Linked DNA regions of Drosophila melanogaster. The gene in region 1 interacts genetically with each later gene. Each region holds a gene or a part of one and is shown on either strand. Other genes may lie near its edges. The genes, in order: lace, norpA, hep and shi.

Region 1 (7,780 bases):
TGAAATCGTGTTGGGTAGGAACGATTTGAAAGTCGAACTGTCAATTGATTGCTATTCCTATTACATAAACTTAAATTAACTTGACCCCTTGCAAATGGAGTTTATGTATTTTAAATTAAAGAAAGGAGGCAGTGCAACCAAAATGATACTGAAACAAATTTTATTTATTTTACTTCCAAATCGTCTAAAATAACATATTATCAATATCGATTTAATTGATATCGCTAATCTCTAATTATCGCTTAAAAGTCAGGCATTTACTTAATTAAAAATGGTTCAAGAAGTAGCTTTATTTAATTAATGGCCACTGTACTTCTTATTTTCTCAAAAATAAGAACTAAGGCCCTAGACTTAGCGGATTCTCTACATATGTGTTTTATATTTGCGTCGAGTATCCAACTTCTGTAAATTAACTGTAGAGGTCGCATAAGTTGTGTCAAAATTTATGTAAAATACAAGGCAAAACATTTTTCGACTTTAAGATTCATCTGCCCGCCAAGTTTTATATATTTTAAATAAATATTTACACTAGTAGACTTAAGAATCCCGTACAGTGAATACTTTTACAGTAAGCTATTCCAATATAGTTTATTAGATAAAGCAACAATTTCTTTATTTTTTTGGTGGAAAAATAAGATCAATAATACATAATTATTATACATATATATTTCCTGACAATGCCCTAAAGTTGACCCAATTTTTGGGTCCCCCGAAGACTTACCCAAATAGTGATTTACAATTGTATCGCTGACTCTTTAGACGTTACATTTGGCTCAGCTTAGTATGCTTAATTGGTAGAAGCGAGGTGCTCGAGGCTTTCCCACGAAAAAGGGGCTTCCCTTAGCTTAGCTATAAAAGTAACCAAACCCTGATTTGCCCAATACATTGCGCTGTCATTTTCTCTTCTATAAATACTTAAAATGCAGCAGCCGACCAAAGAAGACGATTGGATTTTACATATACAATAACAACTACGTAGAGGTAAATGCTAAATAATTAATAATATTTTATCATTTAAGCTATGTGCTGTAGTGTTTTGTTTCTGTTGCTGTAGTGATCTTCCCTTTTAAGGCATATAACCAGAGAATTAGTCATAAATAGAAGCCCAGTGCAACTGAAACTTGGTCAATGTAAGCCACCGTTCGTGATTGATTTAGCACTATCTGGACTGTGTTGTAGTTTTGGTTTACCAATCGGGGAGGTTACCATTTCCCCAAGCTTAACTTCTATGTGTGTGCGTGTGATTCTAGTAAATGACGGGATTCGGATCGCGTGGCTTGCGAGAATACTTTAGGCCCAGATCATCGGCAATCTCGTCTATCGCCTCCAGGGCAAAGTCCAGCTGCTCCTTGGTGTGGGCGGCTGAAAGGCAGAATCGGATGCGTCCTTCCATGATGGGTGTGGCCGGGAATCCAGCTCCCACCGCGGCAATGTGGCGAGTCGTCAAGGTGCGAACCACAGCGCTACAAAGAGAAAATGCAGTTTAGTAAAAAGAGACTCCACAGGATAATTGAAGTTTTTTCCCGTTTGATCTTTTAAAAAATGAAATGCTCCTCCACGCACAATCTAATGACAAAAGTTATTTTGGTTTTATGACCCCATTCTTACCCAATCTTGGAAAACAGGTACACCAGCATGGGCACGACTGGGGAGTCCTCGTGACCGTATGTGATCACTCCCAGCTGAGCCAGACGTCGGCGGAAGTAACGTGTGTTCCTGGCCAGCTGGTGGATCTTCTTGCGTCCAATGTCAGTGCCATCTTCACCCATAATGGTCTTCATGGAGGTAAGGATTTGCTGTGCGATGGGTGGCGAGATCGAAGCAGCATAACAATGGGCGTGGCTGTTGGTGCGGAGAAAGTCAATCAGTTTCTGGGGAGGATAAAAGATTATTGATAAGTGAGGAATATGCGAAAGTGTAGCCACTCAAGCATACCTTGGATCCAGCGAGATAGCCTCCAGCACTGCCAAAACTTTTGGTGAAGGTGCCCATCAGAATGTCCACCTCCTTCGGATCCACATTAAAATAATCTGTAACTCCTCGTCCACGGGAACCCATGGCTCCCACGCTGTGAGCTTCATCCAAATACAAGTATGCTTTGTATTTCTTTTTCAGAGCAATAACCTCGGGCAAACGGACTATGGACCCCTCCATGCTGAAGATGCCCTCGACCAAGATCATAACCTTGTCCCATGGCTGACCACCTTTTTTGGGATTTCCATAGCACACACCCTGACGGAGGACGCGCTCCAGATCGCGCATGTTGTTGTGCTTAAAGACCTTGGTGGTGGCCCCGGACAAACGCAGTCCCAAAATGATGGAGGCGTGATTCTTTTCGTCACTAATCACAAGACTGTTGGGTCCCAGCAGTGAGGGAAGGTTCAACGCATTTGTGGCGAAACCCATTCCAAAGACAATGGCATCCTCCACGCCAAAGTATCTGGCAGTTAGAGCCTCCAGCTCTTGCAGCTGCTCGTTGTCACCAAGCTCACAACGGGAGCTGCAGTATGCCAGTCCAGAGCTCCGAGCACTTTCCTCTGAATCATCAGCACACTGTCCAGTAGCGGCGGCAAATCCCAGGTAATTGTAGGATCCCAGATTTAAGCAACGTGTCTCCGTTCCAGTGAACTTGAAACTCCATCCATAATCATCGGTTACGCGATCCTTTAGAGTGAGTTCGTCTCCCGGAACACTGCAGATGGGTCGGTTCCAGCAATCCTTGATTCTCCTGTAAACGTACCTCGAGTAGAAGCTTTCGAAGGCATCGTAGAGGGCTACATAGCCATCCCGACCCTTCTCGGTGGCCACTTTGGGCACGAAGAGCAACTGGTTGATGTAGCCCAGGATCATCAGTAGATAGAATCCCAAATACGTAAGGCAGGCCGTGTGCAAAGGCACCTCCTCAAAGGAGGTTTTCTGGAAGTGCTCCAGCTCCGGCGAAAGTTTGCCCTCTGCCTGGTTGGGCTTGGACTCCTGATCCAGAATGGAGGCATGCCCATTGGGGATCGACTTCTTTTCCGGATGGTAGTTGATCGAGCTGGGACTCTGTAAGAGGGGAGAGGAACGATTATTGGCTGGTTATCGCTATCATTGGTATCACTGTGAATCTTCATAATTTCCATTGAAAATCACTCATCAAAGAGCAAATAATCAATATTGTTAGACGGGCTAGATGGGAAATTGTAAGACAGATTGTAAACATGTTCGCTTCAAAGGGATCAGCACAGTAATACCCATTTATACGAGTATGTATATCAAAACTTATAGTTCTCATGCGTAAACGCTTTTATAAAAAAATGAAAAATTCTACATTCTCACTTGCTTGCCCTTTCTATGCGTTCAGTCAATTCATCAGTCAATTAACATTTAACTAAAAGATCCATATATGCAAGGTACGTATGTACATATATAAATACAATCACACGATAACTGCTGAACAATTTGCTCCACCGCTCACATGAGCCGAGTTCGACATGAAGTCACACAAAAAGAGACAGACACAAAAATCATACAGGGGAAGCCATAAATGTATATAGTATTTGTGTGCCCAACTTGGCACACTTCAACCTCACCAGCTAACAAATAGAGCGTTATAATTAACGTACTTATTTAAGTGTATATATCATTTGCTTATTGATTTTGCTGGCCAAAGGATCCGATACGAGACATATATATATCTCATTAACTGAGCAACACAAACTGCAGATATATATTCCGAAAAATATATATAGTTGAACGTCAGCTTAATCGTATAACAATAACGAGTCGGCGACAATAATATTTCGTGTTTATTATCATTTGCCACCGGGCTTGTTTACTAAATACGATGAGACGGAGTGCGGGGAGCGAAAAGTCAAGTGGGTTACGCGATGCCTAGTTATTTAATGGAGTCCCAGTGTTAGGGTATATAGACGAGCTCGAAGCTACCGTAGAAAGATCAAAATCGAAACCGACATAAATAAATAAATAGAAAAAGTGTAATACTAATTACGCTATGGGTCGCGTACAGAAGGACAGCTAAGTAGGGAGCATGGTGTGGGATCCAGATAATGACTTCCATATGTTGGGGATCCATGGAGTCCAAGATAACGACTGACAATCGACCAGCGCACGCCAAGTTCTAACCGATTTTGTGGGGATTCCAAGAAGTATTAGCTGTGAGTCAGTAGATAATTGCTTTGGCAATTTCATATTCTTAAGTATTTCTTTTTTATTTAAGCCTTTACCTTTGAAATCATGCATACTGTAATCTTGCCGAGCTGATAAAAGTTTTCTATCCGTTGATATTGGAGATATGAGACTTGCACGCGCTAACATTATTTTCGTGTGATTAAAAATTTGAAAAGGTCTTTAGTTGCCATTAAATCAAGCTGAATGATTTCAATAAGTTGTCGCCATGGTACGGAACTATTTCATTAAATAAATTTTATGTAAACCATTGTATTACTTTCCGAAAAAAAGAAATACAAAGCTACCAATAATGAAATCTTTAGGTACTTAAAAGAAAACTAACAATTGCTCACTCCCCAAAGATCGAATTGTATCGGAATTACCCAATGAATGTAATGTTATAATATGTTTATCTTATCTTTTTAAAAAGTTATGAATAATAAAAAATATGATAATCGGTTAAGTATACCCGCCAACAGTTATTCTTTGGCAGCCCAGACGCAGGGAGAGTCCATGAATTTTAAAACAAAACTCTTATCACCGACAAATCAACGCCCACCCAAAACCGCTGCCTTCGGAGATTGCGGAGCATTGTGATTCACCAGCGAATCGCATTCTGCGAGGCTTTACGTAAAAGACTGGTGGAATGGGCCTGATAAGGCGAGCCGGGCATGGCGTGGCATGACAATATTATGACCAGACCAGCATTGTGCCGCTCTCCCCACACACATTGTGCACCCAAACTACGTACTTATGTGTGTGTTTGCTTTGGGGTCGTACTCCAGTCACTAGGAAAATTTCGAATGAGTGCAGGAGTGCCGAAGAAGAGACAATGGCTAGATTAGAGAGTGCATGTGGTAAAATGGACTAGCGTACCAAACAGTTTAACGCACATCTAAAATAGGTATTATGAAATTTCTGAAATCTAAGTTACTTTAACATGCTGATGTTCTTATCTTAGGGCTTAGTCAATTGTAAGATAGCTATCTCAGAGGAATGTATAGACTACTTAAAATTATAATAATGAAAGTGAAATAATATTGCCCAATACTTTAATTTCCAACACTACAAATTGCCTTTCATGATCACAATTTATGAAATAACTCTCTGATCGTATATGATGATAGGATATTTCCGCAGAGTTCTAATAGTTTCTATCATCCGGAAGTAGCCAAAATACGCCAAATGGTCAGCACTCGCGGCGAAAAGGAAAACACGCGAGGAAAACACTGCAGTGGAGGGAAAACAGCTGTGGCTGCCCGATGACCCAGAAGCGGGAAAAGCGGAGGAAAATCGCCAAAAAGGGCAGCAAAAATTGGGCCGAAATTCTCCAGCTGACGCACGCCTTCACTCTCACTCTCTCTCCCTCTCTCTTATGCGCGCTCCCTCGCTCTCACACAAAATCAATAATTCGCCGGCTGGAAGAGCGAGCGAGAGGGTGAATGGAACCAGCTATGGAACCACATTTTTGGCCAATTTTTATGGCCTTTTAGCTCGTTATTTTCGTTTCGTCCAAGTGTTTAACTCGCGTTTCACCCCGCACACTGAGCGAAAATGCCTGGCTCACCTGGGCGTCGTTTGCGGGCTTCGGCTGGCAGCGTCGCGTGCGAATTTCAGTGTACGCGGGTGCCGAGAACTTCCGGAGAAGTTCCTGTTTTTCCGGGGCACTGAGATCTGCCGCCCCATTGCCATTCGGCACCTTTCCGTTTCCGTTGGTCGTCGCATAGCTCTGCTCGAAAACCGTTCCAGAATCGCCGTCGAAATTGCCCATTATTCCGTTGCCGATTTCCGATTACTCAGCGGACAAAAAATTACGGAGAGATCGATGCGTTTTGCTTAAATAGGTTTCTTTCTAATTGGAATGGTGTGGCCAGTTACTCGGCCAGCTGTTATACTGAAAACTGCGCGCCTTCGGTATTTTAAGGTACTTATCGTATTTTCACATATAATTTAAAAGGCCACATTTTGTGGAATAACGCTTCCGGTTGTGTTCTCTGCTTTTAGTACTGCCAGCTCCTAGCGAATACCTCCACCATGCAAGCAGTTCAAGCCACAGTGCTGTTTAGTATACTTTCTGAGCGCCAGATGTCGCAAAAGAGAAGTAGATTTTTGTATTAATTAGATTTTCAAAGAAATTTATTTAAACTAAAATGGTTTCTATTTTAGTCACATAGGGGTTCAACTTAAATTATTTGACAGCAATTTAATGAAAATATATAAATTTATATATGATACGAGGGTTCAACAATGTATCATTTAAGTGGGAGATAAGCTAAAAAAAATAATGTTTTATATTCCATTACATATTAGAAACCACAAGTTTTCAGACTTAACACGTCAAGCATTTTCCCCTTGAGCATTAAAATCGGTCCAAAACTTACGCAAAGAAAAATTCCGCCTCGCCGGCAATAATAAATTAGATTAAAATGCACAAAGAAAAGGAGGAAAACAGAATTTCAGGCAACAGATATTCAGATAAAAGTGCGTAAAGCGGCAATTGTAGTAAAATTCATGAGCTGCGAAGTGCGTTGACTCTTTGCCGCAAGGAGACACGTCTCGGGCAGTGGATTTCGCCTCATAAATAGATCATCTCCATACCGCAGGCTTTTGTTTTTCTTCACATTTTATTGCGGAAGAATTTCGACTATTTTGTAAATTAATCTGCTGTGGCCGGCCGATGACACTTTTCAAGGATTTTCAGAGCCCATTTCAAAATCAAAACATTGAACTCGCATTTCAGTTTCGTTTTCAGTATGCGCCGCATCCCAACTGTGGGTAAACAACATGAAAACGACGCTAAGGCTTCTAATTGAGTTGGAAGCTTTTGTGGCAGATGTAGCCTCTGCAAAATGCCAACACGTTCCCCGGCAAAAGCTGCACCGATCGCTACATCGATATGCAAATGATTGCCAAATTGTCGTAGCCGGAGATGCCAAAAATTTGAAACCCAATCTGAGTCCAAGTCACCAAAGTGGGTGCTACTGTCAGGGCTGAAGCCCTTTGAGCCGCAGGCCCAGAAAGCGGGTCACGTCGGGTTTTCATCCAGCGATTGCCGATCGACGCCAGCGGCACCCTGAAGGCAAAAGTTTCCGCCGATGCCAGAGGGAAAATCACATACCCTTTTCGAGAAGGTTTCATTTATTTCTCAAAGCACTTAATCAAGGATGAGGATATTCTAAAATATAGCATATATTATTACTTGGTCTATTTTAGTAACATGTAAATATTGTATAATAAATTAAATAGGATTTTTATATTCCACTTGACAATCTCATGACATTGAAAGTATATAATGTAAAGTTGAAAATTTCATGAATTTGTTGACTTCGATCATTATTACTTATTTCTATATTTTGCACTTCTATGCCAAGTTAATCCCTAAAACGGAGAAAAATGCATTGTATCTCAAAGCTAGCCAATTTCTGTCAAAGATTCTTAATGCTTATCTCGATGATCTGATGGTGCAAATCGCTTTTGAATGCCACAAACCGTGTTTCTGTCTGCAATTTCGGTCCGCTAACTGCGATTTCGGTTGTCTGTGTATTTTTGGTGTTGCTGCTAGTTGTCGATTGCCGGTTGTTGTTGGTTGCATGTTGGCGGTTTTGCACTT
Region 2 (4,734 bases), on another chromosome or scaffold:
TGCACATTACCTTGAGTGTTTACCAACAGCAGGCATATGCCAATCTTCTAGAGACACTAATGCCCATGGTTCTTAAGAAGGCCGTCGATCGGAGTGTGGCCTTGCGTCGCGGCTTGCCGCTGCACACTTTTCAAGTTTTGGGCAATGCCTACAAGGGAAATGACTGCGGGTCGCGCAAACAGCTGGTGGAGAATGTGCAGAAGCTGGTGACCAATTACTTGATGCCCTCCGAAGATGATATTGATGAGGCCGTCGACCAGATGGCCAAGAAGTTCCAGCACGAGGCACTTCCGCCGATCGTATTGCCCTCGGAGGAGGTGCGCACTGTTCATGGGGCACGCAGTGATGCCGATGAGCAGGGCAACTGCGTCTGCGATTACAAATTCAATAAAAAGACATCCGTGCGCCTGCTGCGTGCCAACATTCTGCGTCTGGTGACCGAGTCCGATGGCAGCGTGCGTATCTACCACCATGTGGACAATGGCCTGGATTACTGCAAGTACGAGCCCTATTTCATGGAGATTCTGCCAGAGGAAGCTAAAGCCGTTGAGCTCCTCATATCGGCCTATCCATTTTACCTCACCATTGATCAGTTGCCATTGGAGTCTTCAGCTCGCAAGATAGAGGTCGCCACCGCCCTGTGGGAGCATGGTCTTCTTATGACCGAGAAGCCGTTTAAGTAGACGGCAATCGAAAGCGAGTTGCTGTTGATAATTAGAATTAAGTATCGATGCGAATGTGTATCTAAAACGAGCGTAAATTAATATTTTTGTATAAATATGTAACCAGATTTATAATGCTCCTATTCTGCCGAAAATAAAGCACCCACATTCGCACATATATCTCGGTTGTTTTTTGGTGTTTCCAATAGTTGTAAATTTTATTTTTTTCACTAACAAAAAATGGTTATCTTAGGCGCTGCGGATTTTCTTGCGTTCACGATAAAGGCTTTCCTGTTGAACTGAAAAAGAAACATGGGCAACATCAGTGCATATGCATAAAGTCAGTGATGGCCGGCACTCACTGTACGGATCGAAGCGTATTATCTCCAATTTGTCGGCCAAGCGATCGCGAAAAGCATTAAACTGATGTCCACTGACCACACTTTCCAGTACGACCATGATGCGCCTGTAAAAACGGTTGGTTTTAACAAAAAGAACAAATTGGATGTCCAAATTACTCACTTGCTCTTCACCTTTTTGAACAAAACGTTAGTTAGACGCATTTTGATTCGGTAAATGGGGAAAATGCAGTGAATTATGGAAATATGCCGCTGAAATTATTGTGCAAGCAAGACGATAGGAACGAAGAACAGCTGACTGCGCCTATCGATTACCACCCGAGGGCTCAAGCTTTTCACCCGGATATTTTGAAAAACAATCGGTGTCCACGTATGATGAGTATATATTTAATATTACTATATTTATATTTGATGCATTTATGTCTCTCTGTTTTAAAGCCTTCCTTTCGAAATTGCTAAAAAGCTCTCAGATGCAATGTGGTTAGTAGAAGTCATTCACATATGTATCTTTGGTTGAAGTCCCTGCCAATTAAATATTAAAAAGTTAACATACAGGTTTGAGTCCGTGCTAGAGACTGCAAGCTGTGCCACTGAGGTTAACAGAAGCCAATCGATACCAAGCGCAAGCACTGAAATGTATCGTCGAGAAACATCGGTGGTCAATGCATTCGATGCTTTTTTACATCACTAACACTCGTGCGAAACGGACGCGAATTTTCATTTGTGCTGCGGAAACCAACAACAACAGACAACAAATAAAAACAAACGAAAAACAAAACGGTCAAAATTCCGTGTAAAAAAACTGAAGCCTTGGAAAAATAGAACGAAAAACATAGACGCACTAAAAGCTCAGTGAAGTCCTTTGTGGGCGAAACCGTATAATAAAATAAATCACAGCCACACGCGCTTTCTGTAACTCCTTTTCGCCTTGCCCTGCTCTTGTTTTCCCTTTTAAATATTTTTTTTACGAGTTGGTTTCCCGAGAATTTCCCATACTCGCGCGTGGTAAACAAGACTCATTTTTTTTTTACAGTGTTTGTTTTTTGAAAGTGCAGAGAAGCTGACAAGAAAGAGATAACAACATAAAAACAGAAACAGCCAAAGAGTGGCAACAACAAACAAACCAACCAAACGGAATCAAAGTCAAACAAACGCGAACGCGAAGGAAGCTTCAAAAGAGAGACAAGAGCGTGAAAAGGAGGTGGAGAGGAGCTGCGGAGAATCTAAGGTAGGAGGCAGATTGCGAAAAATACGTTTTTTTGTTTTTTGTTGATTTGCATTTGCATATTCAAAAGTTCTCTGTTTTGAGGGTTGCAGAAGCGAAATTAGTTTTTAAAGCCCGCTTAGTAGCCAATTTGCCGGAATTGCACATTGGAATTCAGTGTGTTCCTAAGTACATAAATCACTAAAAACTAACGGCAAAAATTCAAATAGCTTTCAACAAATATTTACAATTACTCATTGATAAAAGTGGTAATGTGATCCATGTGTAAGTTGTTAAATTATTTTCGTAGCGCATTTGTACGAATGAAAGACTGCAGTAAAAGTTTTCGATTGCATGCAGATCGCTTTCCGAGTTTAAGAAGAAAAGTTGTGGAAAACGTTTTCCTTCTTTAGAGACATCAACTTAATCAAATATCGAACAGCTAGTAAGCCATTGAAATCACATCAGTTTCTTTCTGTGCATCTGGCAAAGTGCTTGATTGTTGATATTTCGAGAGGGGGTTTTCGAAAAGCGATCGGAAATCCAAATTGTAAATGATTTACCAAAAACGTAAACTTGGCCGTGACGAGGGGCAAGAAATGGTCGAAACGTGGGCTGGAGCGGAGCAGGAGCAGGTGAAATACATAAACAAACAAGTGCTCGAAGGAGGGTTAGTTGTGGGAGGGGCTACGCAAATACATAAGTATATGAATAAATAATATAAACAAAATATTAAATTAGAAGAAATTTACTTGCGCGCACGCCGACGCAAACACGAACACAAGGTGCTGGTTGTTGTTGTTAGGATGGTGTGGATATGTGGTGGGGAGGGAAAAGCACACATAAAATTGAAGTATTCAAATTTACACACGCAAAAAACGACGTCGGCAGAGCAAACAACAATTTGCCAGTCCGCCAGCCCTCTCGCTCGCACCCATCCGCACTTGGTCGCCGCGTCTCGCTCGCACTAACGACGGCCACTTGTTTTGCCCTCTGTCGACGTCCACGCAGCCACTGTGCACTGAAAGAAACAAAAGACATGGTACAACATATTCATGAATCGCTTGTAAGATTGATATTTTTTTATAAACGCTCACTTTTCTGTTAACAATACAATATTTTACTCGAAAAATTTAAGAGTTTAAAATATTTAAACTTTAGTGTAAAATCACTGAGTTATTCGACACTGTTATTTCAAAATAAAAAAAATAATGATTTACGACCGATAAACAAAACAAATTTAAAAAAATTGAGCCGCAAATACTTTAAATCATCCAATTCCCATTTAGCTTTATCATTTTTTTTCTTTTTAATTTTGTAGGTGTTAATTAGCAAATACTCATATTTTCCATCTCTCGCCCAAGCTGCAAATGTGCATTATTCAAGCTCTACTGTAGTTCTACGTAGCTTACTTTTTGTGGCAAGTGTGGCGATCAGAAGCTTTATTATGCTTCTCCCTCATTTCCTTTTGTTTGTTTGAACTGCAACCGAGCGAAAGGGGGCGTGCCAGTGGGCGGTGGGTGGCCTGGGATTGTGCAATAAAGCTATAATAATAAAATAACAAACAAACCGTTAAAGCGAACGCCGTCGCACACTCATCGCACCCACACAAACGCACCATAGGTATTGGTGTGTGGCTGCATGATGGGGCGGAAGAAATGGAGAGGAGAACGGCAGGCGAAGGAACAATAATCATATTTGCACTTGCTCTCTCGCACGATCATCACCCACGCAGAAAGAGCGGGCAAGAGCAGCAGAGAGCGCCGGTACAGTAGTCATTCGTCGCACGTATATAGCTGGCCATAAAAGTGGATAGTCATCAATGTGTACTGTTTAGTTTCATAGCATTTATAGAGCAGTTTAGTTTGTTCAATATATTCATATGCAGATTAATTATTTAAATCAGCACTTATCCGTCTGCACAAAAAGGCCCCACTGTACTTGAGATAAAAGTTCTCCGTTGCTGGCTCTCCGTTCTCAGTTGGTCAGTGGTCGTCCGCCGGAGCTTTTCCCGTTAGTCCGCTCGCATAATATAATCCGCGATAAACAAGGGAACACGGCACGGAGAGAGAGCGAAACGGCAACGTGTTTCGTTTTGGTGTCAGTTTCGGTTTTGTTTGCCGCATGTTTACCCATTGTATTATTATTACCTGTTCTATTTCTTTTTCTTTTTTTTATGTGTGTACATTTTCACAGCAATCGCATATTTTTTGCAGTGGCTGTGAGCTGAAATACAAAAAATAAAAAAAACAAGTGCAACCAAATACAGTGTTACCTGTTGTGAGTAAACTTAAGGAAACGTGGAGAGAGCGAGAGAGTGCGACAGCCGACTGATCAAACTGTAAATCTTGCAATGCTCTTCAAACTGAAATTCGCAAGGCGGGAAAAAACAAACAAATATAAATAAACAAGAATAACAAACAAAAATAGGTAGCAAAAGCAGGAACAACAAAAGCCGAAGCCAATTAATTAAATACATATCTACGTAAGTTAAACACACAAGCCAACA
Region 3 (4,556 bases), on another chromosome or scaffold:
GATAGAACTTGTCCAGGCTGGTGCTCATCACCTCCATGCAAATCCAGACATCGCCCTCGCGATACATCGCACCATAAAAGTGGACGGTGTAGGGGCAGTCGCTGGATCTCATCGATATGTCCAAATCCATTACAAGGCGGTGCTGTTCTCGAATATTTACGGTCATGGGTATGCGTTTGACGGCCAGGACCGTATCGGTTTGCTTATGGCGCATCTTATCCACGATGCCATAGGCGCCACGGCCCAGATCGCAGATCTTCTCGAGACTATCTGCATCGATGTCAAAGGTCCGGTCGCCAATTTGGATGGTGGCCCGCGAGTCCAGGTTGCGTGGCGGGACTCTAAAAGGATTGCCGAATGTAGTTCAATTCACAATTCGTTTCTGGCCAGGATTTGACCATTTTGACTTACATGGCGGCCTCTGGCTCCTTGGCAATGGTAAAGGGCGTGAGGCGGTGGCGTTTGGACATTTTGGTAGGCCCTTCTATATCCTATATCCTATATGCTATATGCTATATATACCCTCTCCTCTCCACGACTTTCCTTGGTGTTTTCTGGCGGATTCTGCAAGACTTGGCGGTTCGGTGCGAATCGGATGCGATGCGGTGCGGCTATTTTTACCGCATTTGGTCAGGTCAGGATTCGGATGCGGGTCGGTGATATGGGGATCGGATCGGTGTGGATCGTGTGGCCCGGGTTTTGCCGCCCAACCTTTCGCTATTGCCTTTGCTTTCCTTTCCGCACTTTTTGCACTGTTCACCGATCGCTTTTCGCTTCTCTTCTCGTTTTTCTCTCTTTTCCACTAGCGCTGGCCAGCCGCAGTTGGTCCTATCGATATATCCCAACGAGTGCAGCTATAGTATCGTCATACAAATAAATCGAAGTGCCTCGATAATAAATTTGCTTCCACCTGCAACGAATTTAGATAATTAAGTTAGGTATCGATTATATCTATATCTCTTTGTAAGCCTTCTAGAAAGTTGTTCCGTATATTCTTCATACCTATTTTTTAATGTTTGTTTATTTTCTTTAATTTTTTATTTATACATTTATAGACATTTATTTTAAGGGAAAACTTAATAAGTTCTAGCCAAGTGATGCCCATCTTAAGTTGCATTTCGGTATATTTATGATTCTTTTTAGCACTTTGGTCACTCCGTTTTCGATACGTAATGTTGCAAGTTTGACTGAACATATAGAATTCGATGTTTTAGAATTGTACTAAAATAATTTATTATTTTATTAATTAATAAATAGGTAGACCTTATATTATTATTTTAAGTACAAGAACAACGAAGTCTCTCGAATCGACCAATTTGAATTTGAAAAATCTATTATAGTTATATTATATTTGTATGAAATATCCTCTGAAAATTATTCTATCTCGGTAAAATAAAATCCTACATAGTTTTAGATGCCGTTCCTAGTTCGAAAACTGTTTCTGAGGTGCCGATGTTTTGCAAACCATCGATAGGCACGAAAAAAGATATTAAGAATTATCGGCGAAGAACCATCGATGGCTGATGCATCGATGTTTTTTTACATCACTATTGTACACGCGATTTAGGCAGCAAAAACGTACAAAAGCGAGTGATCAAATTGTGCCAGTGATACCGCCGCCCGCGGTCGCGAAACGAATCGATTGCAGAAGTGCGACAAACAGCGCCGCGAAAGGAAAACAACCGATGAAATATTCTCCCAAAAAAGGAGGAAAAAATCGCAAGTTGTTGTTGCCGTTGCTGCTGAAAAAGAAAGAGAGAGAGGGCGCTGCGTGTATGCCTGTGTGTGTGCGTGTGTGGGGGTGAGGATGTCTCTCTCTAATGCACAGTGACTGTGTTTTCCTTTTTTCGATTTTGTTTTTGTGCCCCCCCTTGGCAAACAACAAAAGTCCAAGCAATCCTTTATTTTTGCAAGTGTAAAGTTTACAGTGTATGTGTGCCGCCGAACAACAACAACATCAGCGACAAAACAAACAGGGCGCACAGCAAAACAATTCACACACACACGCACCCTCCCCCGCCTGCGCGCGCTTGTGTGTGTGTGAGAGAGAGGGAGTGAGTGAGAGGAAAATCGAAGAAGTGCTGGCCAAAAAACGGCGAAAAAAATTTAATAAATACCAAAATCCAACGATACTAGCAACTAACTATAAAAAATCGAACCAAATCGACTCGATATAATGTCCACCATTGAGTTCGAAACGATCGGCAGTCGGCTGCAATCCTTGGAGGCAAAGCTCCAGGCGCAGAATGAGTCCCACGACCAGATCGTCCTCTCCGGTGCGCGCGGCCCTGTCGTTTCCGGTTCCGTTCCATCTGCCCGCGTCCCGCCCCTGGCGACATCCGCATCCGCAGCCACATCCGCCACCCACGCACCTTCCTTGGGCGCAGGTTCCGTTTCCGGATCGGGTATCAGCATAGCCCAGCGTCCAGCACCTCCAGTTCCTCATGCGACGCCCTTCGGCAGCGCCAGCGCCTCGTCATCATCCTCATCCGCATCCGCATTTGCATCCGCAGCACCGGCGACGGGCACCTTCGGTGGAACATACACCCCGCCGACAACTAGAGTGTCGCGAGCCACGCCCACACTGCCCATGCGTAAGTCCTCTTTTCGTTAACTTCCTACTAAATCTTTAATATATAAAATTAATTGGGATCAACTAGAAAAACACTGTAGTTACCTGAATCTTTGAAAATCGTTGAAGAAAAATATAACAAAATATAATGTCACAACTAAACTCCATGTACCAGGGAATACTCTAAACCGCTATCTAAAAATGATAGCTTATCAAACTGCGTACTGTAACTCAAAATTTTCCAACGAGACTTTCCCGATTCGAATATTCGATAATTCTCTACTTTCGAAAGTAAATCGTTGTCGAAAAACAGTTTTGGCCGCCAAAAACGTGGTAAAACTTTCCAAGTAAATTTCCAAACGCACAAACAACATTTTTGATATTAATTCGCAGAAAGATCAATGTTTTATCGATCGAACATTAGACAGGTGAAATCTTTATTGATCCTCTGTGACAGGTGTGGATTTAAGCCAACATTTCTCTGACCGCAACTGTAGACAGTTTGTTAAGTGGTAATAAAAGTGGGCTGAGAAAAATCGTGATCCCCAAAAATGGTCACCAAAAATCTATATATACCGTACCGCCAACCGCAAGCCACAAAACCATCTTTTGTCCGCATTTGTGTAAATATTTTGTTAATAAATTGTCATTGCCCAATAAGCTGTGTATGTGCGCGTGTGTGTGTGTACATACATGTATGTGTGCTTAAATTGTGATAAGAGAAGTGCTCTTTTCTTGGCTTTTCCCATTGCTATTGCCATTGGGTTTACTTTGGAGCATTTGGATGCCGCCAACAAAGGGCAAACGCTATCGATTCCCCGACTGCATAACAGCTGCTCATAATCCCCCATTCCAGCACCTCAGCAGCGCCCCGTCAACCCCGTAGCTCTGCCGCTTTTCCCCCCCTCCGATTTCCCGTTCTGTTTTTCCGATTGCATAGATAAGACAGGCCAAGTGCGAACACCAAAAGCGTACCCAACTTGTTTTCGGCCTTTTGTTGGGCCAAACAAAAATAAAAAGAAGTCAAATCTACAGTGGTATTAACAGCTGTGAACCGCGTCAATTTATTTTCGCCTCGATTAGATTAACAATTCCTGGTACCATAACTGTTTGATACATGAACCCCAGAAAATGCCTAATGGGTTTTTGAATAATCAAATACATTTCGATTCGATTAGATTAGTAGTGGTTAATAGTTTCCGCGAATTTCAGGGGTACTTAAAATCACACCCAAATTTTAACAGTGTAATCAGCTATTGAATAGATTTTCAAGTTCGTGGTACATAATGAGCGAGCAAAAGTTAAATGAATAAATAGCTAACAAAATATAACGGTCTATATGTTAATTTATCAGAACAAAATTGGTTTATTAAAGACAAAAGTTGTCGTTATTCGATTATTTATGAGGCTTAAATTGATAGAAATTTTAAATTTTTCATGTAAGAGATGACGTTATTGTGCCCACGGTTGTGAGACCACCCACCGCCTTTTTTCGTTTCTTTTCCCCTTCCTTTTGTTATACATTTAAGTTTTTGCATATTTGTCTTGTATATTTTTCTTATTGGATTTTCATCTGCCATCAAGTGTTGTTATTTATTTACTTACATACTTTTTATTTACTTTTTGCATGTGTGCGTCTCTCTACTCGCGTTTGGTGCTCTCTTCCTCTCTCGCTCTCCGCCATTGGTTACTTTTTGGCATTTCCGGAGTAATGTCTTGATATGCCCGTTACTGTTGTTGTCATTTTTTTTGGGCCTCACATATTCCCACCTCCGCCGCACCCTGCCCACATTCGTTCATCGGACATTGTGCCGTGTCTCCTCTTTCGCATGTTTACAAATAGCGTTATTTTTTATGACGTGCTGTTGTTGTAGTGGCTAATTGTTGAATTGAATTGCTGCCAGGGAAAAAAAAACTTCGCAAACAAAAACAAAATCGCTCTCATTCGCTCTTCCTCTTCATGCACACACACACACACGCACAC
Region 4 (4,583 bases), on another chromosome or scaffold:
AGACTAAATGTTAAGCATTCGTGTTTTAAGGCTACAAAATGGACACTCCGTTCTTAACAACGCCTGCCAATTGGCACTTTCGCGAAACAAGAGCTCCAAAAGGTCGAGCAAAGACAACGTAACGCGACAGGGAAAAATATTTGGCTCGTTGTTTGGAAATCGGCTTAAAGGCAGCAAAAGCCATTGGTATCCATCGCCCGATGCAGGAACATCAGGCAATCAAAAGTCGCTGCACGCCTTAAAGTTTGGAACCCCACACTCGAAGACAACTTGCAGCCACAACAATCGACGCATGTCTGTTCTGAACAAGTTGTTCATGACGAACATCACTGATATTCTGGCCACCGGCGCAGTTGCCGATTCCATCGTGGGACACGGAGTGCAGATTTCCTATGTCAAGATCACCAGCGACTTCTCCCGCATCAATGTCTATTGGATGGGCAAGGATGGCGGGGAGAACCAAGAGCTCGAGAACACATTGAATCGCATGAGCGGCAAACTGCAGCACGAGCTATCGCAGCTCCATCTGATGGGCGAAGTGCCAAAGATCAAGTTTGTCCGGGACAAAACGAGCACTGGTCTCCATCAGGTCCACGAGGTTCTGTCCAAAATCGATCTTCAGCACAGTTACTCTAGTTCAAATGCGGAAGTTGAAGAAAGCGACGCACAGAGTTGTCAGACGGCTGCGGATGAGGAATGGCCGGAGATGCGACAGGATTTCCTCAGTTTTAACCATAGCTTAGTTATGGACAAGATTCTCGGCAAGATGCGCAAGTCCAAAGATGCCTGGGTTAATCATAGACAAAATATTGCGAAAACCTAACGTTTGTTAAATCCCTCGACTTATGTACATAATGTTAATTATTAAAGTGTTATTCAATCCAATGTAAATTGGGTTCTAAAGTTGAAAATAGGGGTAGGGTCTGTAAACGTTTAATCATTTTCCAATAAGTTTGAAATGTTGGCTACTTTTATCCCAACTAGTTCATCATGTTGAGTGGTTTTAAAATAGAGTATCGATTGCGTTTCTAAAAAAAAGCTTTAACGGCTTAAAATTGAATGTCAAAGGTCAAATCATTACCATACTCGATTATGTTATTATGCTTTTAAAGCTTGCGCACTGCATCTGTATCTGTTATCGATATAAAGCAAAAACGCAGAAAAGCCGGACATGCGCATAAAATGAATAGTTTTATAAGCTTTTAGTATTGGTTATATATTCCCTTCAGGATATGCATATTGTAGATGTGCATTTAATTTAATAAATAGATAGATAATTACTTGTAAGTTAATGTAATCAAATCAGCTGTTTTTGATAGTTGCGATAGTAGGCGACCTTGCGCTTAAATTGATATCGATGTCGGATAAAGCACTGGACTTGTTATCGAAACCAACACTTAGCTTCGGCATACGGAAACTATTCGATATATCGATGTATCGCGAGTGATTCACCCAGCCCTATCAATTATACCAAAAAAAATCAGACCAGACCAGCTTATCGGGTACAGATTGATTACTTTCTTGCATCTCTAGTTTTAGTCGAAAAAATCCATTGAAACGATTTGGAAGCGGAGTGTGGTGATAGTTGTCAGTTTTGCACAATAAGAAGAATATTTGTTTAAAAGACCAAGCCAAAGCCCAAATCGCAGTGCGCTCTTTGTGGCGATAAACATGACATCTACACTAACACAACACAGTTACGCCTGAGAAATAAGTGACAAATTGGAAAAGTCGATGATAAATTCGTTTGGGAGTATATATACAAATTATTTTCGTGTAAATGTCGATAAACACTTTTGCTCGCAAAACCCAACAATCATACCCGTCTTTACCTTCTTCGCGATTCCAATTCCGATTCCAATAAGTTTCGCTACATCGCCATTATAATCCGAAGAAGCAAGAAAGGTTATTGTGGTGGTACATACAATATATCGGGTTGGTTAATCGTGTGGGAGAATGAGTAACTCATGAGTGCTCTCCAATAACGATTTCTGTTTGCAATTTTCCCCATTCCCCCACGATTTACGCATATTTGTTATTAACCACCACCCCCACCGCCGCACACAAATTTTGTCAATTTTTTTTTTGTGTTATCTATACAAACGAAAAGAAAAGTGATGGAACGCATGAAAGTATTTATAATGCAGCAATTGTATTTTGCAGAGGAGTGTGTGCAGTGAAGTAAAGCCAGCGATTAAAGGAAACAGCATAGAAAAAAAAAAGACCCGGGAGCTGAGCAGTAAAAACACAAACATCCGGACGAGTTGGGATCGCAGTTCGATCTGATCTGATCTGATATCTAATCTAATCTAATTGTGAGGGAAATCGGACCTCGCCGCAATGGATAGTTTAATTACAATTGTTAACAAGCTGCAAGATGCGTTCACATCGCTCGGCGTCCACATGCAACTGGATCTGCCGCAGATCGCGGTGGTCGGTGGCCAGTCAGCTGGCAAGAGTTCCGTTTTGGAGAACTTTGTGGGCAAGTGAGTATCCCCCGCACGCCTTATCAGCATATTATCCTCTCATATGGGATCATACTATCATACCATATCACCCTATCAGCACCCCAAATATCTAGCCTACATATATTGTGATTGATAATGGACCTGAAGAGACCCCTCTTTGGCATGCAGCGAATCGATTTTTCTGCACGCCAGTGCTCAGCGAAAAGTAGCGCTATTCTTTCTATTATGTCTGCGTTTCGTGGAATGCCCAATTAAATGTTACTGAAAAACTATGAGTAATCGCTGATAGCACTCGCTTTCAGGCATTATTATTATTTTTTTTTTTTTTGGTTGTTTATTAACAATCAATAATTGGTGTCTACGAAACAAGTGTACTTGCTCATAATGACCAAACCATATCAGTGGTCTTAACTTAATTATGATAATAAGAATTTTATCTTTCACCTGCACAAAGCTGTTGAAAATCCAAAAGCCCCGCAGCTCTGCAAACTATATTCACAAAACGAATTGTAGAACATCTACGTATACGTATTTTGAATTTTGTTAAACAGAAATCTAAATTGTATGTATCAATGCGATTTCTTGTGTGTTTGTATCTATAAGCCTGCGCTGTCTCTCATTTTTCTTTGTTAGTGTCCACTCTAAATACAAACATATAAAGAAAACAATGGCTTACGCCCCAAAAAAATGCAGATAAGGCCAAAATGATAGTGTGTCGGCGATTTAAGTTTTTCCCCACTCTTGCCCAACGATTGAGTAGAGTAACTCACATTCTATATGTTTACTTTCGAATATATTTGTAAAAGTTTGACCTCCTTTAGAGTCGATTTATTTATTTTTCATAGCTTGCAAATAAGGGGGGGGGGGGGTGCGCTGAAAAAGAACATTAATCAATATGCCCATTCATGTATTTACAAACTGCATTGAGCCATGTAAAGTTTGTGCTTACATAAGTCCACTATGTTCAAAATAGTCCAGTTAGATTTCGCATGCGCCGTGCTTTATATGTATGTATGAATGTATGTATGTGTGTCAATTAGGGTGGTTACCCCGCCCCCCGCCCACCTGACACCACTGAGCCATCGGAGGAAGCGAGAGAGGCAGCGAGACCCACGGCCACGGCAGGCCAAAGTCTTAATGTCAATGGAAAATGAAGGCTTCTTCTAACTCTGGTCAGTGCGAACAGGATGTAGGTGACCAGAGTGTTCAAAATGACCCATTTACCATTTGATTTATTAGCCTAGCTAACAAATAGCTTTACTTTAAGTACTCAGTGGTATTAAACAATGCCCAACACTTTTGGAGTCCTGAAGTTCTCACTTGGAAATTTAAACACTAGCTGCAAGTCATAAGTTAAATTTCCATTAAGTTTTTAGTATTGGCAACTCAAATACTCATTATTCGATGCAATTTCAAAATGTTTTGATACTAGGCTTAATGCTTTCTACATACTTCTTAAGCCCAGTAGTAATATTGTTAGATGAACAGGCTCCACAATCCAAAAACCAAAGACTTCTATGATTCCATTATTAAATACAAAACGTTTTCCCCATTTTACAGAGATTTCTTGCCGCGCGGCTCTGGTATCGTAACTCGGAGACCACTAATCTTGCAACTGATCAATGGAGTTACCGGTAAGTTGAGCATTTGATATGATTAAAGAGAAGCTATCTTCTAATGCTAACATTGATATTTATTGCAGAATATGGCGAGTTCCTTCACATTAAAGGCAAGAAGTTTTCCAGCTTCGATGAGATCAGAAAAGAAATCGAAGATGAAACGGATCGTGTGACCGGTAGTAACAAAGGCATTTCAAACATTCCAATTAATTTGCGCGTCTACTCGCCGCACGTACTCAATTTAACCCTGATCGATTTGCCAGGCCTGACAAAGGTGGCCATTGGCGATCAACCGGTGGATATTGAGCAGCAAATTAAGCAGATGATATTCCAATTTATTCGCAAAGAGACTTGTTTAATTTTGGCTGTGACCCCGGCCAATACGGATCTGGCCAATTCGGATGCCCTCAAGCTGGCCAAGGAGGTGGATCCACAGGGTGTGCGAACCATTGGCGTTATAACCAAGCTGGATCTGATGGACGAGGGCACCGATGCA

Evidence for each region.
Region 2: of lace (region 1) and norpA, changing one suppresses a phenotype caused by changing the other (phenotypic suppression), as found in Drosophila melanogaster (one study listed by BioGRID).
Region 3: of lace (region 1) and hep, changing one suppresses a phenotype caused by changing the other (phenotypic suppression), as found in Drosophila melanogaster (one study listed by BioGRID).
Region 4: of lace (region 1) and shi, changing one suppresses a phenotype caused by changing the other (phenotypic suppression), as found in Drosophila melanogaster (one study listed by BioGRID).

Annotation. Positions count from the first base shown.
Region 1 is NT_033779.5:15,497,382-15,505,161, reverse strand, and holds lace (lace), read right to left. Parts: upstream 6,036-7,780; 5' UTR 5,942-6,035; coding exon 5,738-5,941; intron 3,046-5,737; coding exon 1,936-3,045; intron 1,872-1,935; coding exon 1,609-1,871; intron 1,464-1,608; coding exon 1,247-1,463; 3' UTR 144-1,246; downstream 1-143.
Region 2 is NC_004354.4:4,320,907-4,325,640, forward strand, and holds the start of norpA (no receptor potential A), read left to right. Parts: upstream 1-1,719; 5' UTR 1,720-2,249; intron 2,250-2,702; exon of another isoform or gene 2,703-2,895; intron 2,896-4,441; 5' UTR 4,442-4,710; intron 4,711-4,734. Other genes in the region: NO66 (nucleolar protein 66), read left to right, coding at 1-683; mRpL33 (mitochondrial ribosomal protein L33), read right to left, coding at 912-961, 1,025-1,128, 1,185-1,225. UniProt on the Drosophila melanogaster protein: The production of the second messenger molecules diacylglycerol (DAG) and inositol 1,4,5-trisphosphate (IP3) is mediated by activated phosphatidylinositol-specific phospholipase C enzymes. Essential component of the phototransduction pathway.
Region 3 is NC_004354.4:13,087,397-13,091,952, reverse strand, and holds the start of hep (hemipterous), read left to right. Parts: upstream 1-1,518; 5' UTR 1,519-2,176; coding exon 2,177-2,594; intron 2,595-4,556. Other genes in the region: lic (licorne), read right to left, coding at 1-341, 412-470. UniProt on the Drosophila melanogaster protein: Required for the epithelial cell sheet movement called dorsal closure (DC), which allows establishment of the dorsal epidermis. Controls the expression in the dorsal epithelium edges of another dorsal closure gene, puckered (puc).
Region 4 is NC_004354.4:15,890,665-15,895,247, forward strand, and holds the start of shi (shibire), read left to right. Parts: upstream 1-1,535; 5' UTR 1,536-1,587; exon of another isoform or gene 1,588-1,917; intron 1,918-2,163; 5' UTR 2,164-2,340; coding exon 2,341-2,486; intron 2,487-4,028; coding exon 4,029-4,102; intron 4,103-4,170; coding exon 4,171-4,583. Other genes in the region: CG15916 (uncharacterized protein), read left to right, coding at 8-823. UniProt on the Drosophila melanogaster protein: Microtubule-associated force-producing protein which is involved in the production of microtubule bundles and which is able to bind and hydrolyze GTP. Implicated in endocytic protein sorting.